Linked DNA regions of Mytilus edulis. The protein of the gene in region 2 purifies or fractionates together with the protein of the main gene of each other region. This does not show direct contact. Links are inferred from orthologs where the notes say so. Each region holds a gene or a part of one and is shown on either strand. Other genes may lie near its edges.

The links.
Region 1: the proteins of SAGA-associated factor 29-like (region 2) and cysteine-rich protein 2-binding protein-like purify together in Drosophila melanogaster (affinity purification with mass spectrometry; 5 studies listed by BioGRID). This does not show direct contact. The link is inferred for Mytilus edulis from reciprocal best matches to the Drosophila melanogaster genes Sgf29 and Atac2.

Annotation. Positions count from the first base shown.
Region 1 is NC_092344.1:116,011,874-116,019,791, forward strand, and holds the start of cysteine-rich protein 2-binding protein-like, read right to left. Parts: upstream 3,148-7,918; 5' UTR 2,975-3,147; intron 2,223-2,974; 5' UTR 2,188-2,222; coding exon 2,088-2,187; intron 1,038-2,087; coding exon 923-1,037; intron 20-922; coding exon 1-19.
Region 2 is NC_092349.1:72,417,285-72,424,815, forward strand, and holds the start of SAGA-associated factor 29-like, read right to left. Parts: upstream 3,131-7,531; 5' UTR 2,988-3,130; intron 1-2,987. Other genes in the region: TLC domain-containing protein 3A-like, read left to right, coding at 3,192-3,322, 5,831-5,917. UniProt on the Drosophila melanogaster protein: Component of both the SAGA and CHAT histone acetyltransferase complexes, which both predominantly acetylate histone H3.

The DNA.
Region 1 (7,918 bases), on a different chromosome or scaffold from region 2:
CAGAAGTACAACTTGAGACCTGCAATCAGTCAAATGTTTATCAATTAATACAACCATAATCTGTTAATTGTATTAATGAATGACCATGGCATTGGTAAGGGTTATGGCCCCAATATTTAAGTCTCTTAATTTAGAATGAAGTATTTCAAGTTACTGAAAATTGAGAGAAAGACAAAAGGGACATTTTGTTAAGTTTTCCTCACATATATACATAATAAAACTTCAGGATTTCTTCCACAATTAAGCTTAGGAAGTATAGAGCGCATGGTTCTATGAACTAAATAATCAAGTCAAATGGTTCTTCATTTATATTAAACATAATGTTAAAAATCCTTTTAATTGAAGCACGCCTATATGCTGCCATAGAGTTAAATAGGAATCTAAAGGTCAGCATATTTGTTTTAGCACAAAATCAAAAATATTTGTAAAGGAATTCTGATCCTTCCTTTAAAGTTTAGGAAGATATTCACTTGAAGCTTCAGAGGAAAAGACATTTTATTATTGCCTGATTTGCATCAATAGTTTTCATTGACTTTCCTGTTATTATTGTTGTGCTTGTATGTGGTGTTGTGTAAATTTAGCGCAATCAGATGTCTTTTTGTTTTTAGTGTGAAGTTGAATGTATTTGTCCTCTTTTCTACAGGTTTTAGAGCAGTTTACATCCTGGTACTTTTGATAGATGGTTGTCTCATTGATAATCATTCTTTATTATCACGCATAGACAGCTTTTTTTTCAGTACTGTATTTGAAATGCCATATTTCATACTCCTACCCTCCTATGGGGTATAAAAAGGTAAATATAACTAAAAACTTTGAACTTAATGCCCACAACTTGAAAAAACAAATCCAGTTATTGTTAAGAAATGTAAAAGACAATGAAAGAAGAACTGTTAAAATCCTATAAAATTCTATTAAGATTTACCATTGCATCTTTAATCTATCTACTTCTTCTTCTCCACTGTTATTGCATTCAGTACAGACCAAGTGAAAAAATACATCACCTGCCAATAACGATGGCTTTCCCGTCTTTAAACAATCTGATAAAAAATATTGTTTACATAATAACAGAACATGTATATGCTATCAGGGTTGTTCAATATAAGTATGGATGAGACTGTGAGAAGATAGATTAATTGATACATATTTGCTTTATGTATACTGTGGATTCATTTATTTTCGTGGGTACCAATTTTCGTGGATTGAGGAACTTTTGCATTTTCGTGGATATCTGATTTCGTGGTTTTGTCAAAGTCTGTATACAACCCAACAGCAAATTTGTGATTCGTTGAACATTTAAATTTGTGGTTCACTTGTACCAACTAAAACCACAAAAAATGGTATCCCACGAATAATAATGAATCCACAGTATTTGCAAATATTTCATGTATTATCCAAAATAAACAACATGCTATCTATACATGTATTGACAGCAAATACTGAGTTGCCCTCCTCTGGGTTTAGGATTTTCTCACTGCGTTGAAGACATTTTGTGGCATTGGGCTCTTTTCTACTCTTTGTTGAACTGTTGTCTCTTTGACACATTCCCCATTTCCATTCTCAATTTTATAAGTATTTTTGAAACCATAAAGGTATTGCTCATTCACTATAATTCATTTTTTATAAATTCATATTTTTTTTACAGAACTTAGGATTGTTCAGTGAAAAATAACATAATATTTGGTTAATGTTTGAGTGACATACATGTATGTAGTATTACATTATATTTGTGATTGCCAAATTTGCTTTCAATGGTGATACTGCAAATAAAGGATTTATAAATAAAATTGAATACACTCTTTATTACTCAAATTCCTAGTTATTATACAGTACGTACTAGATGACTTAATTGGAAATAACTCTTGGTGGTGAATTCTCAGTCAGGTGATTTTTCTTGATGCTCTAGATCTGCCATTTTGGTGGCAATGTCCCTTTCCGTCTTATTTAATAAAACCCTACTGTACCACATTTTCTAGAATTCTTCATTAACTCCAAATTTAATTAAAACTTTGTATTTTGAATTTTCTCTTCTTTTCAATTCTTTTAACATGTTTAACTGTCATTGACTCTATAAAACTGATAAATCATACCTATATGGAACTGTCGTCTACATTTCATACATGTTAACTTTGGAGTCTCTTCATCAATTTCCTTTACTTTACAATAACAATGTGTTGCCTCAGGTTCCATATTTAATTATCTAATCAATCATACTATGGTTATGTCTGTAACAAAAATTTTATTCAGAAAAATATGAAATAAGGAAGATACATTTAGCTACAACATGTATTAATTCTTTAGTGTTAATGCATTGTTGATCGAAAGAGGAAGAAGCTACTTGAAGTTAAAGAAGTAATGAAACCAGGGGCGCATCCAGAATTTTTGAAAGGAAGTGTGTAATTCCGCTAGTACATTCATTGGGTTGGGAGGCAAACAAAATTTTGGATGATTTTATGCAAAAAACAATTAATTGTGAAAACATTTAATAATCTTTTTTTTTTAGCCGTCAAACATGTCAAAGGGTAGTCCAAATAATTATGACATCTTGAAAGGCTATTATATTTTTTTCTTTGACGCCTTACATCGCAGGAAGGCGTCAAAGCAAAAATTTGAAATAGCCTTCCAAGACTTCATAATTATTTGGACATAGTCAAAGGGCAGATAGCCTTTGCCAGACGTCATAATTATTTGGACATAGTCAAAGGGCAGATAGCCTTGCCAGACGTCATAATTATTTGGACTAGATCACCACCAGAAACATTCTTATATATAAATCGCTATACATGTGTAAATTATAATTAATTTCCACAAAAGTTCTATTGTTATTTTTTAATTAGGTTGAAAAATGTAACTTTTCCTGTATGCCAATTGATTATTACCAAAAGATGGCAAAACCAAAAGAACCAATCAAAAAGAAAAAAATAGCATGACAAAAGACAAAAAAAGGGGGGTGAAACAGAATAAAGAAAATACATACAAGATTATTTATAATGTTTGATCATCAATATACTTGTTGACACTAAAAATAGTTGGTACTAAAGCATTTCCCTGTGTATATGAAAAGCAGATTGCAAACAATTTTGTTTTGCCGCAAAACCAAAACACCGGAAATTCCAATACTAAACGTAAGTACAAGTTCGGTGTAGACGTGAACGATTTTACGCCTGAGTGTGTATTATCACAGTCGCCTGAAGATTTAATAATTATAGCGAAAAAATGGGGGAAATAAAATATTTTTAGTAGTATTATATAGAATAATAATACTACTAAAAATATTTTATTAATACTACTAAAAATATTTTATTTCCCCCATTTTTCGCTATAATTATTAAATCTTCAGGCGACTGTGGTATTATGAGGGGGATAGGATATTTATCGGGACTCCGGGATCGGGTGTTTTTAAGCTCGGGATTTCGGGATTCGGGAATTCGTTTTTTTCATTTATTTAAATTCGGGACCTCGGGATTTCGTGTTCAAGTTTTTAAGCCAGGGATTTCGGGATCAGGACCCCTCAAACTCCGCATACACCTTATCGCTAATCCCGGCTGACCCGGCCGTTTGAACTTTTGACGTCAACAACAATCACTTTTCCATTGTTGCGTCAGATATTTTGTTTTATGACGTCAACATTTTACGGGAACCTGTGTGAGCAATGGCGGACAAATAGCGATAAGGTGTATTAATATGAATCTATTATATATAGTCTATATAATAAACTTCTCATATTCCAATTCCACGGAGCATTCAATTAAATAGATACTACGTCAAATATTTTTTGATAAAAGTAGGCCTTCAATCATTCAAGCACCTTTTTAGCTCATCTGGCCTAAAAGGCCATGTGAGCTTTTCTCATCACTTGGCGTCCGTCGTCGTCGTCGTCGTCGTCGTCGTCGTTAACAATTTTTCAAACATCTTCTCCTCTGAAACTACTGAATGGATTTGGATGAAACTTAGCATGATTGTTCCTTAGATTATCCTGCACAAAGTGTGGGCTTCGATTTTTGATCCGTCAAAAAACATGGCCGCCGTTACTTAAAATAGAACATAGGGGTCAAATGCAGTTTTTGGCTTATATCTCAAAAACGAAAGCATTTAGAGCAAATCTGACATTGGTAAAAATGTTCATTAGGTCAAGATCTATCAGCCCTGAAATTTTCAGATGAATCAAACAAACCATTGTTGGGTTGCTGTCACTTAATTGGTAATTTTAAGGAAATTTTGCAGTTTTTGGTCATTATCTTGAATATTATTATAGATAAAGATAAACTGTAAACAGCAAAAATGATCAGCAAAGTAAGATCTACAAATAAGTTAATATGACCAAAATTGTCAATTGACCCCTTAAGGGGTTATTGTCCTTTAATGACAATTTTTCACAATTTGTTCATCATATTTGCTAACTTTAAAAAATCTTCTCCTCTAAAACTACTGAACCAAATTCAACCAAACTTCAACTGAATGATCAGTAGGGTGTACAAAATAAAGTTTGTGCTTTATTTTTTATTTCGTCAAAAAACATGGCCGTCATGGCTAAAAATAGAACACAGGGTAAAATGCAGTTTTTGGCTTATATCTCAAAAACTCCAGCATTTAGAGCAAATAAGACAAGAAGTTAAAGTTTTATTAGGTCAAGGTCTACCTGTCCTGAAATTTTCAGCCGAATTGGGTAACTGGTTTTTCAGGTATAATGCCCCTGAATTGATGATTTTAAAGAAATTTTGCAGTTTTTGGTTATTATCTTGAATATTATTATAGATACAGATAAACTGTTTATAGCAAAAATGTTAAGCAAAGTAAGATCTACAAATAAGTCAATTTGACCAAAATTGTCAATTGACCCCTTAAGGAGTTATTGCCCTTTAAAGACTTTTTTCACAATTTGTTCATCATGTTGACTTACTTTAAAAAATCTTCTCCTTTGAAACTGCTGTATCAATTTCAGCCAAACTTAGGCTAAATGAGTTTCAGAGTATCTAGTATAAATTTTATATTTCATTTCCTTGTATGTCAGAAACATAGCTCCTATGGCTAAAATAGAACATAGGAGAAAATGATTTTTTTTTGCTTTTGAAGAAAATAGGACGATTCAAAGAACATTTAAATAAATTGAAAAGCCAAAATAATCATTGATGAGAGATTTAACCAAAAAAATAAATTAAGGTGAGCGATTCAGGCTCTTGAGAGCCTCTTGTTTTATATGCAGATTAAAAGGACATTGATATTGCCGGGTCATATTGACGGTAAACACTTACTTTTAGTAACAGACTGAGGGAACACCACTGTATCTGTATCTGTATGAGTGCGTTGTAAAACTATTCAAGTTAACAGCATGATTTAGAGCTACGTTACCTGGCCAAAAGTGTTCGTCACCTGCCACTTTCTTTGCTCTATATTTCAAATAAAAACACATTAAAAAAAAATATACATTTTGAAGACATTTTGGTTGGATTGTTATAAGCAGCCACAGACACTTGTCTCATATCCCCCCCCTATATACCTTAATATAACACAAGGTACTTAACTCGCATTCTTTGAAAATGTTCACCCGGTCGCGAATTTCTGTTATATGGCGATTTCTCGGTTCTCAACCCCACTAAAACTTGTTATGCCGTAAAATCAATATTTTTTCCAACACGATGGTGTATAATACGCATACAGTGATACTTTTGTTGTCGGAATCATCCATAGCAGGCCTGCCCAAGTATGTCAATCGTAATTATTTCGTCTACCTACACACAGGCACTTGCCTCAGAAATGTTTTTCCCATTATGCCATAATATAACATTATATTATATTAAGGTATATAAGGGGACAAACCTAGTCAAAGATAGAAAATTGTCTAAACAATATTTGTTAATTTAGTCATCGTTTTGTGAGGGGGGGCAAGGGGGGTTCCAATAACAGCAAAACAGTAAATTGATTTGGCGTAAAACAGATAACAAGGAATTGAAAAGGGACAATAACAGATAACAGTAAATGAAATTTTAAAATCAGTCCGGTCCAGGACCAATACAGTACAGTCAGTACATCTTATTATATAACTGGTTGTATGGATTGCTAGGCCTTAACAGAGACAAATATATTCACTTATTTTAAGTATATTTTGTCGAGAAATTAAATATTTGAAGCTGTTAAAGACACATCTTTATTTGCAGCAACAGTTTCTGAGCTTCACTTTTCATTATGTGAACCAGTTAAAAAGCGATCGAAAAATTGATAGTCAGGGTTCTCTTTCATGTAAATACAAAGAGGAGGAGTAGCACTTCTAGTGTGAATGCTGAAGAAAAAGATGTCGTGTAATTCCCAAAGGCAACATTTCACTCACATGCTCAAACAAATGATACATTTATACTATTTTTGTATTTTGTAAATAAGTATAAAAGGAGATGTGGTATGATTGCCAATAAGACAACTATCCAAAAGAGACAAAAAGACACAGAAATTAACAACTATAGCTCATCATACCACCTTCGACTATGAGCAACAAACCAATACTGCATAGTCATATATAAAAGGCATTGAAAAGACAAACGAAAAACAATCAAAACGAGAAATTTAACAGCTTGATTTATCTAAAAACTAATAAACGAAAACAACCACTGAATTGCAGGCTCCTGACTTGGGACATGCACATACAGAAAGTGGCGGGGTTAAACATGTTAGTTGGTGTCTATAAACCTTGGACAGTGGTGTAACAGTACAACATAACGTTTATTATTTGGTCATTGAATTACAATTATATACGGTGTATCAAGGCTTTCTTTTTATAAAAAAATCCATATGATAAGTTATTGTAAAAGTTATACATTGTTGAAAGTGATTTTAGTCAAATTTCATATACAAATTGTCATTTTCACAAATATATATATAATTTGTACAAAAAATGTGTACAAAGTCAAAATACAAATTATAATTTTTAGAAAAATGTGTACAAAGTAAAAAAATAAATATAATTTGTACCTATTTTATGTACAAATTATAATTTGTACAAAATTTTACATCTAAAAACATGTTCACAGACAATGGAATTTATTACAAAGAGTAACAATAATGTATACGGGAATGGTCCTGGACCTCACTGTTTTTAAATATGTTTATGTGATGTTTGTTACTGGAATCCTTCTGCGAATACGTGACCTCCATATCACCAATGGAAAGACCCCAATAGTGATAATAAAAAGATGTGGTATGAGTGCCAATGAGACAACTTTCCATCCAAATCACAATGTTCATTTTTTTCAATTTCTACTCAAGATTGGCTGTCAAAATGCTAACATTCCAATTTTCAATAACAATTAACAGCAAAACAATCTCACAATAACAGATAACAATAAAAATAATTGTCCTATAACAGATAACAAGGAATAAGACAATAACAGCTAACAGTTAATATATTTTCAGAATAACAGATAACAAAGAATTAAATTACCCCATAACAGAATAACAGTTAAACCCCTTGCCCCCCCTCTTTTGTCTGAAGTTGTTTTTATTTTCTCTTGATGTGAACACAGACAATAACATTTTACAATTTCATTTGGTTGAAATTAATAGCATATTTCTGTCCAGATTTATGTAATTTGTGAGAAATTGACAATAACGCACAAAAAAAAAATATAACCCAATAAACAAATAAACCTATGACAATTCTGCTTCTATTGGTACCAGTTGCTTAATATCAAACTAGAAATTATCCGAAAATATTTTTTTGAAAAATGCAGTTTTATACGAAATATGTAGTGAAAATCGCAAGTGACGAATACTTATGGCCCGGGACTGTGCATATTACCTAACTCTGTTGTATATGAAGGTTTTTCTCTTGTTTAATGGAATTTGCTCGTCTATTGTTAGTGAAAAGTCTGAAACTCATCGTGTGCAGAATTTATGTCATGAATCTTTGTAGAGTTCAAAGTTTGCTTAAAGT
Region 2 (7,531 bases):
AATTTCCCTATATTTGTGTCCGCCATATTGGGATGATCGTAACTGCAGTTACGATAATCACGTTGACGCCAGTGATAAATGTTTTAAAAACTTTAACTGCAGATTGTATGTAATGTTAACTGGAAAAAAACTAAGTCCATTTATAAGTAAAATACAGATACACAGGTACAAAGTTTTAACAAAATTTCCTTCTAGATACTAGCTTTTGATCATAAACAAGCTTCTGTCTAAGTTTGGTACAAATCCAAAGTAGAATGAGAAAGTTCATAAAATTTTAAAAACTGTAACCACAAAGTTAATATTTGTGGACGCCGCCTACGAAGACGACACCAACAGAATGTAGGATCGCTATGTCACGCTTTTTCGACAAAAGTCGAAGGCTTGACAAAAATGAAACTTCCAGTTTACGTTTCTAAAATGCGGAACGAAACCTGTGTTTAAAACCAATTACACAATAAGTTAGTTTCCCTTATTTGTCAAAAGCCGTAAGATGTATCTTCTCATAGAAATAGACTTGTCCAAATGTGAACAGGTCGAAGTTCAAGACATCAAGTTAAAGTACTGAATATTAACAAATCATTTGAAATTTTCTTGTTTCATAGATAATAAAAAAATAACGTCCATTTGGATAAAAAACGGGAATGCATGACAACATATTAACCCAATATTCTCATTTTTTCCAGTGGACGAGTTTATTACGTTTTTGACACGTGTGTTGAAACATATTTTCGTACGAAGTGTTTACATTTTTTTCTTTATCAGTTTTCTTGCTTGCTTGAAGATCATTATTCACCAAGTTTTCTGGAACTGATTAAGAACTACATGAATCTGTTTTTTCTTGTTTGTGAAATGACGATTTAATTTCGTCTTTGTCCGTGCACCCCCCTTTTTTACGGGAAATTATTAGACAATGTCATGGGATGTTTATTACAGCTGAGCATTAATATTTCATAGAACTGAACTTTAAGAAATGATAACAAAATAGCATAACAAACATATTATTAGAAAGGTGAAATATATATTTATTTTGCATATCAGTTTTCTGTCTTGAAAGATGTTTTTTTCTTTTTTTTCCCCGACCGACCGACCTGACTTTTTCATGGAGAAAATGCGTAAACCAACAAAATTAAAAACTGTAGCCTAGACTGTCCCTGGTCTATAATAGACCACAGTCGCTTGAATTTTAGTGATATATGTATGAAATTTTTTTTTAAAAATACTGTTAGGCCAACTAAAATTTATTAGTAGATTTTCATCCAAATTTTTGAAAATAATGGGGCGGGTGGGAGGATTTTATTTTTTAAATTTTATTTCATATGAAACCCTTTTGTGACTAGTTCTTCGTATATGCAAGTGTAATAATAAGCTTATATCATGTATACACAAGTATGAGGAATCTTACATAATATTTCAAATCCTTAAATAAATATATCTAACTGCGGCTTTAAAAACTTTTAAACAACAAAAACGTGTGAGAAATACTCTCTTCAGTTAGACTACCTACACAAAATGTATTGGGTTTCTAAACAATAGTTTGTATTACTATAAAATGAAGCAAATGCATTGGTATGCAACACAATTATTATGAGTACAGAATAAAATGAAAGCTCAGAGAGTGTTGAAAATAATAGGGTTGGTACTTTATATGCAAGATGAAAATATAATTATCATGTAGAACATGAACCTAATAATTAAAAAAAAGTTGTTGTTTAATGAGTCTTTTTGGCTGTATTGGGAAATTTGCTGTTTGTCAACATAAAAAGACAGCCATGGGTAAAATCAAAGGGCTTGCATAAATAAAATGCGTATGTTAGTCGACTTTTTAAATTCAATAAACGGTCATAAATCTGACAAATTCGTGCTTGTGTTTCAATATCTATAATTCAGTCATGTTTAGGTATCAATGGTTTCCACGAATCTTGTGCTTTGAGTATCATTTACAGTTTAAATTTCCTGAGACAAAGTCATTGCATAAATAAAAAAGTCCGCAGTTTTCTAATCACAGAAATTTGTGACATACCGCGATTTGCAGTCTTGGAAACAGCGTTTTTCTCGTAACACCAATATTTCATGTCATTCTCGTTATCAATCTTTACTCTCGGAAGATGATGTTGTCATTATAGAGCAGCGGAAAGGTAGACTTAATCATTTTGGTTAGATTTACTCGAGGTACAAAACCGAAATTTGAAACAGGAAGCATTGAATGAAACGAAATTTTAACGGTTACCGGTAACGGGAATGAACAAAATCGGGAAATCGTAAATTTTATAAAATAAAAAAATTCGGGGCAGGGCGATTTCAGAGTGGCGGGCGGGGATGAAAATCTATCAATTAATTTTAATTGGCCTTATATACATATAACAGTATTTTTTTTAATTTTTTTTCATACATATATCACTAAAATTCATATAACAGTATTTTTTTAAAAAAAATTTCATACATATATCACTTAAATTCAAGCGACTGTGAATAAACTAAATACTAAAATAGATGTCTATTTACACAGGGGTTTGTTATAAGTGTGATTTTTTTGGTGTTTGTATGGATAGTAAACCCGGAAAATACACCTTATCGCTATTTGTCCGCCATTACTGGATATCACACAGGTTCCCGAAAAATATGTGACGCCACAAAGGAAAAGTGATTCTTGTTGACGTCAAAAGTTCAAGCGGCCGGGTCAGCCGGGATTAGCAATAAGGTGTATAGACTATACACCTTATCGCTATTTGTCCGCCATTACTGGACATCACACAAGTTCCCGTAAAATTTTGACGTCATAAAAGAAAATATCTGACGCCACAATGGAAAAGAGATTGTTGTATGACGTCAAAGGTTCAAGCGGGACAGATTCTCGGGTCAAGCGGGAATAGCGATAAGGTGTATAGTAACACACCCCTGTGGATCATACTGAAAAAAAAATATAGCTGTTATAAATATTTTTCGTATGTTCATATTTTTTGTGAAATGGCCGAGTAGAATTTTCATACTTATTAGAGCGTATCAAATAACATGTATTTTCTGGTTTCATGCTACATGATTGTAGACATGTGTAGTAAATATTTTGTCAGTGAATTTGCTTTGTTTACGTTTATCAGACCAAGTTACATGATTATTTATTGGTTCGTTTTTTATTACTTCCGTCAATAATTGAAAGGGGGTTGCTGATTGGTCAGATTTATAAGTGTTTAAAGATGGAGGTTGCCGGCCTAACTCTGGCCGGGGGTGCAACGTTCTCATGCACATATCTTTTAATAAGACGTATATTATTGTCAGGTTTCAGTCATAAAATTTCTATCGACATCCTGTGTGACCTGAGTTTAAAGTAAGAATCTTTGAAACAAGCTGTAGTATGAACAGGCATAGAAATACTGGGGGCGAAATCAAATCCGAATTTGGTACCAGGATAAATCGGCATCTGTTCAAATCGGCATCTATTTGAATTAAAGTCAATTCGGCATCAGCAAATATTTGACAAAGAGTACACATTATAGAAATAAGTGTCATTTTTTTTTTTTATAATTTATACAAATTTTGCGATTTGATTTCTCCGTACTTTAATGATTATGTACCCTCAGTCAGGGGTACTACTTGTACAAGTGTATTTTATTTACTTGAAGAAGTAAAAATAAATATACACATATAAGTAAATTTGTACGCTACTTATACAAGTGAATTTTATTTACTTGTATAGGTAAAAAAAAAATTGGCTGAGTTATGTCCCTTAGACATTCAGATTTTTTTACTTGTAGAAGTAAAAAAGTCATCCTATCTTCTTTTATTGAAATCTTTGGATTTCTTTGCTCTAATAGAATTTTAAATTATCTGCTCTTTGCAGAAGTCTTTACTAATCATTTCAGTGCAATTTCATGGACAATGAAAATCCCATTTGTCTGTTATCTTCAGAACACTGCTCATTTACAAGCCCCCAAGGAGCAATTTTTGAAGGCCTTGCGCAAATACTTAAGATCTTTGCGCAATCAGTTTCTTTGTTGAACTAATGAGATGAAACATTGAACTTTAATTAAAAAATTTGAGCAAACCTGGGAAAAATCATTAAAGGCATGATTTTACATCTCAAAACTTGAGGATTTTTGTTGGATTGTAAGAAAAATTTACTTATACAAGTAAATTTTTGAGAAAATGAAGGGGAGATTATTTAAACATTATTTATTTACTTATATATGTATATATTTTTTTACTTCTTCAAGTAAATAAAATACACTTGTACAAGTAGTACCCCTGACTGACCCTTGTGTTGATTCAATGCTAAACATATGGAAATTTTATAGAAAATCCACAGCATTTATCCTTGTAATCTCATATTTGGCAATTTCATAGCTGCGGAACCGTAGCTCTTAGGTCCTTATGTTATTTTTTACTATTTGTGGATGGTCCGCAAATAGTCAAAAAATAACATAAGGACCTAAGAGCTACGGTCCCGCTGCTAGCAATTTCATGATCGATGATATAAGATTATTGCATGCAGTGCTAGCATTGATTTCCTTAAAACGAGTTTATTAATGTAGTTATTGGTTAAAACAAATTAAAATATGGACCAAATCAAGTACACCTTTTAGGGTGCGCTCGACTCTAGTGACTCCACACGAGGTATTTTGGAATTAACAGGTTGCTTAGAATTTTTTGAAATAAATAAACACTAGCACATCATAGAAAAGCAAGTGAGTAATCTATGTTTCAAATTTTATAACAAAAATCTCTGTATTAAAGGCTGTGGGTTTTCTATAAAAATCTTGGTTTATTTGCCACAAAGTATCCACAAAGTATTCTTTTTCTATTAAATGCAATGAAACAATAAATAATAATGCTTTGCATCAAGTTTCCCCTTGGTATATGTACAAAATGGCCTACCTCTATTATTCATTACATCTGTAGTTTTGATACAATTGAAGTTTGAAAAATTTGTACAAATATAACTACAGAAGGGGGTCATAAACCTTAACTTTAGTTTGCCTCAACCAAAATGCTATGAAACTTATACACAATGCTTATGACCACAAAATACAGATCAAATTTGACTTTTGGTGATGTCACTTTCACCATTCTAGAGTTATGCCCCTTTACAATTGGAAAAATTGTTGAAATTTGCGTTTCCATTCTTTCACTTTAGTTTGTCTCTACCAAATGTTATGAAACTTATACACAATGCATATTTCCACAAAACACATATCAAGGTTGAATTTTGGTGGCGTTACTTAAACCATTCTAGAGTTATGCCACTATACAAATGAAAAATCACTGAAATAGTCGTTTCCGTTCTCAAAAATTTAGTTTCCCTAATTAAATGTTATGAAACGTACACACAATGCTTATTATCACAAAATACAGATCAAGTTTGAATTTGGGGTTGTCACTTTTATTGTTCTAAAGTAATGCCCTTTTCAATGTTTCAAATGGAAAATTGCAGAATTTTTCATTTCTTTTCTTCAACTTTAGTTTGCCTCAATTAATGTTATGAAATTCTACACAATGCTTATTACCACAAAATACAGATAAAATTTAAACTTGGTAATATATCACTTTCACCATTCTTGAGTTACGCCCCTTTACAAATAGAAAAACTGCTCAATTCTCGAACTTTCAGAAATTATTGCAATGTTTTTATTATTGCAAAAAATGCAACAGGTTTTTATCATCGAAATAAGTCACATTTTGAATTTTTGTATATGAATCATTGTGAATTAAACAGGAATTTTCTCAATATCGCAATAATTAAAATTGCATAAAATCAGTCTAAAATGACAAAATCGCAATTAATAAATGCACGCAATAATTTCTGAATTTACAAAAACTGATAGTTTTTTCATTACAGAATTGTGTCCAGTCTGCAAGCCATTGCTTCATTTACAATTGGTAATATTATAGCCACAGCATGCCAAGGGAACATAATGACAGATAGGTATTTATAACAAAATGACAGATAGGTATTTATAACATAATGACAGATAGGTATTTATAACATAATGATTTATTATGCCCTATACCATAACATAATGACAGATAGGTATTTATAACAAAATGATTTATTATACCCTATACCATAGATATAGGAAGATGTGGTATGCCAAGGAAACATAATGACAGATAGGTATTTATAACAAAATGATTTATTATGCCCTATACCATAGATATAGGAAGATGTGGTATGCCAAGGAAACATAATGACAGATAGGTATTTATAACAAAATGATTTATTATGCCCTATACCATAGATATAGGAAGATGTGGTATGCCAAGGAAACATAATGACAGATAGGTATTTATAACAAAATGATTTATTATACCCTATACCATAGATATAGGAAGATGTGGTATGCCAAGGAAACATAATGACAGATAGGTATTTATAACAAAATGATTTATTATGCCCTATACCATAGATATAGGAAGATGTGGTATGCCAAGGAAACATAATGACAGATAGGTATTTATAACAAAATGATTTATTATACCCTATACCATAGATATAGGAAGATGTGGTATGCCAAGGAAACATAATGACAGATAGGTATTTATAACGAAATGATTTATTATGCCCTATACCATAGATATAGGAAGATGTGGTATACCAAGGAAACATAATGACAGATAGGTATTTATAACAAAATGATTTATTATGCCTTATACCATAGATATAGGAAGATGTGGTATACCAAGGAAACATAATGACAGATAGGTATTTATAACGAAATGATTTATTATGCCCTATACCATAGATATAGGAAGATGTGGTGTGAGTGCCAATGAGACAACTCTCTATCCAAGTAACAATTTATAAAAGTAAACCATTATTATTATATGTCAAGGTACGGCCTTCAACGCAGAGCCCTGGCTCACACTGAACAGCAAGCTATAAAGGGCCCCAAAAATTACTTATTCTCTAGTGTAAAATCATTGAAACAGGTAAACCAAAATCTAATCTATATAAAAACGAGAACATGTATGACGACAACTACTGTACATCAGATTCATGACTTAGGACAGGTACAAACATTTGCAGCGGGATTAAACGTTTTAAGGGTACCAACCTTCTCCCTTTTCTGAAACAATAGTATAACATCACAACATAGAAACATACTTATGGTACTCCCCCTACAAAAAAATCAAAGAAAAGCAGTATTTTGATAAAATGATGTGATGAGAACTTTTTCAGTCTAGTAATGCTGGATGTTATGTTTTTTGCCTGTACATGTACATATGAATTTGAGATAAACAGAGATGTGGGATATGCTAATAAGACGGCCACCAGACAACACAAATAAACAAAAGATATCTTTGTAACATGTAGGATATGTGCTCAAAATCATCAACAGTAAACAGGATCAAATCTATGTAGTAGGGTAACTAAGCTTTGTACCTTTTACAATTTCCAATAATGGTTGGTTGAAAAGTCAATAGAAGAAAATAAGGAGTACTGTGGATTCATTTGTTTTTTAAGGTACCAATTTTCATGGATTAAGGAAAACTTTCATATTCATGGATATTTATTTTTCGTAGTTTTGCCGAAGTTTGC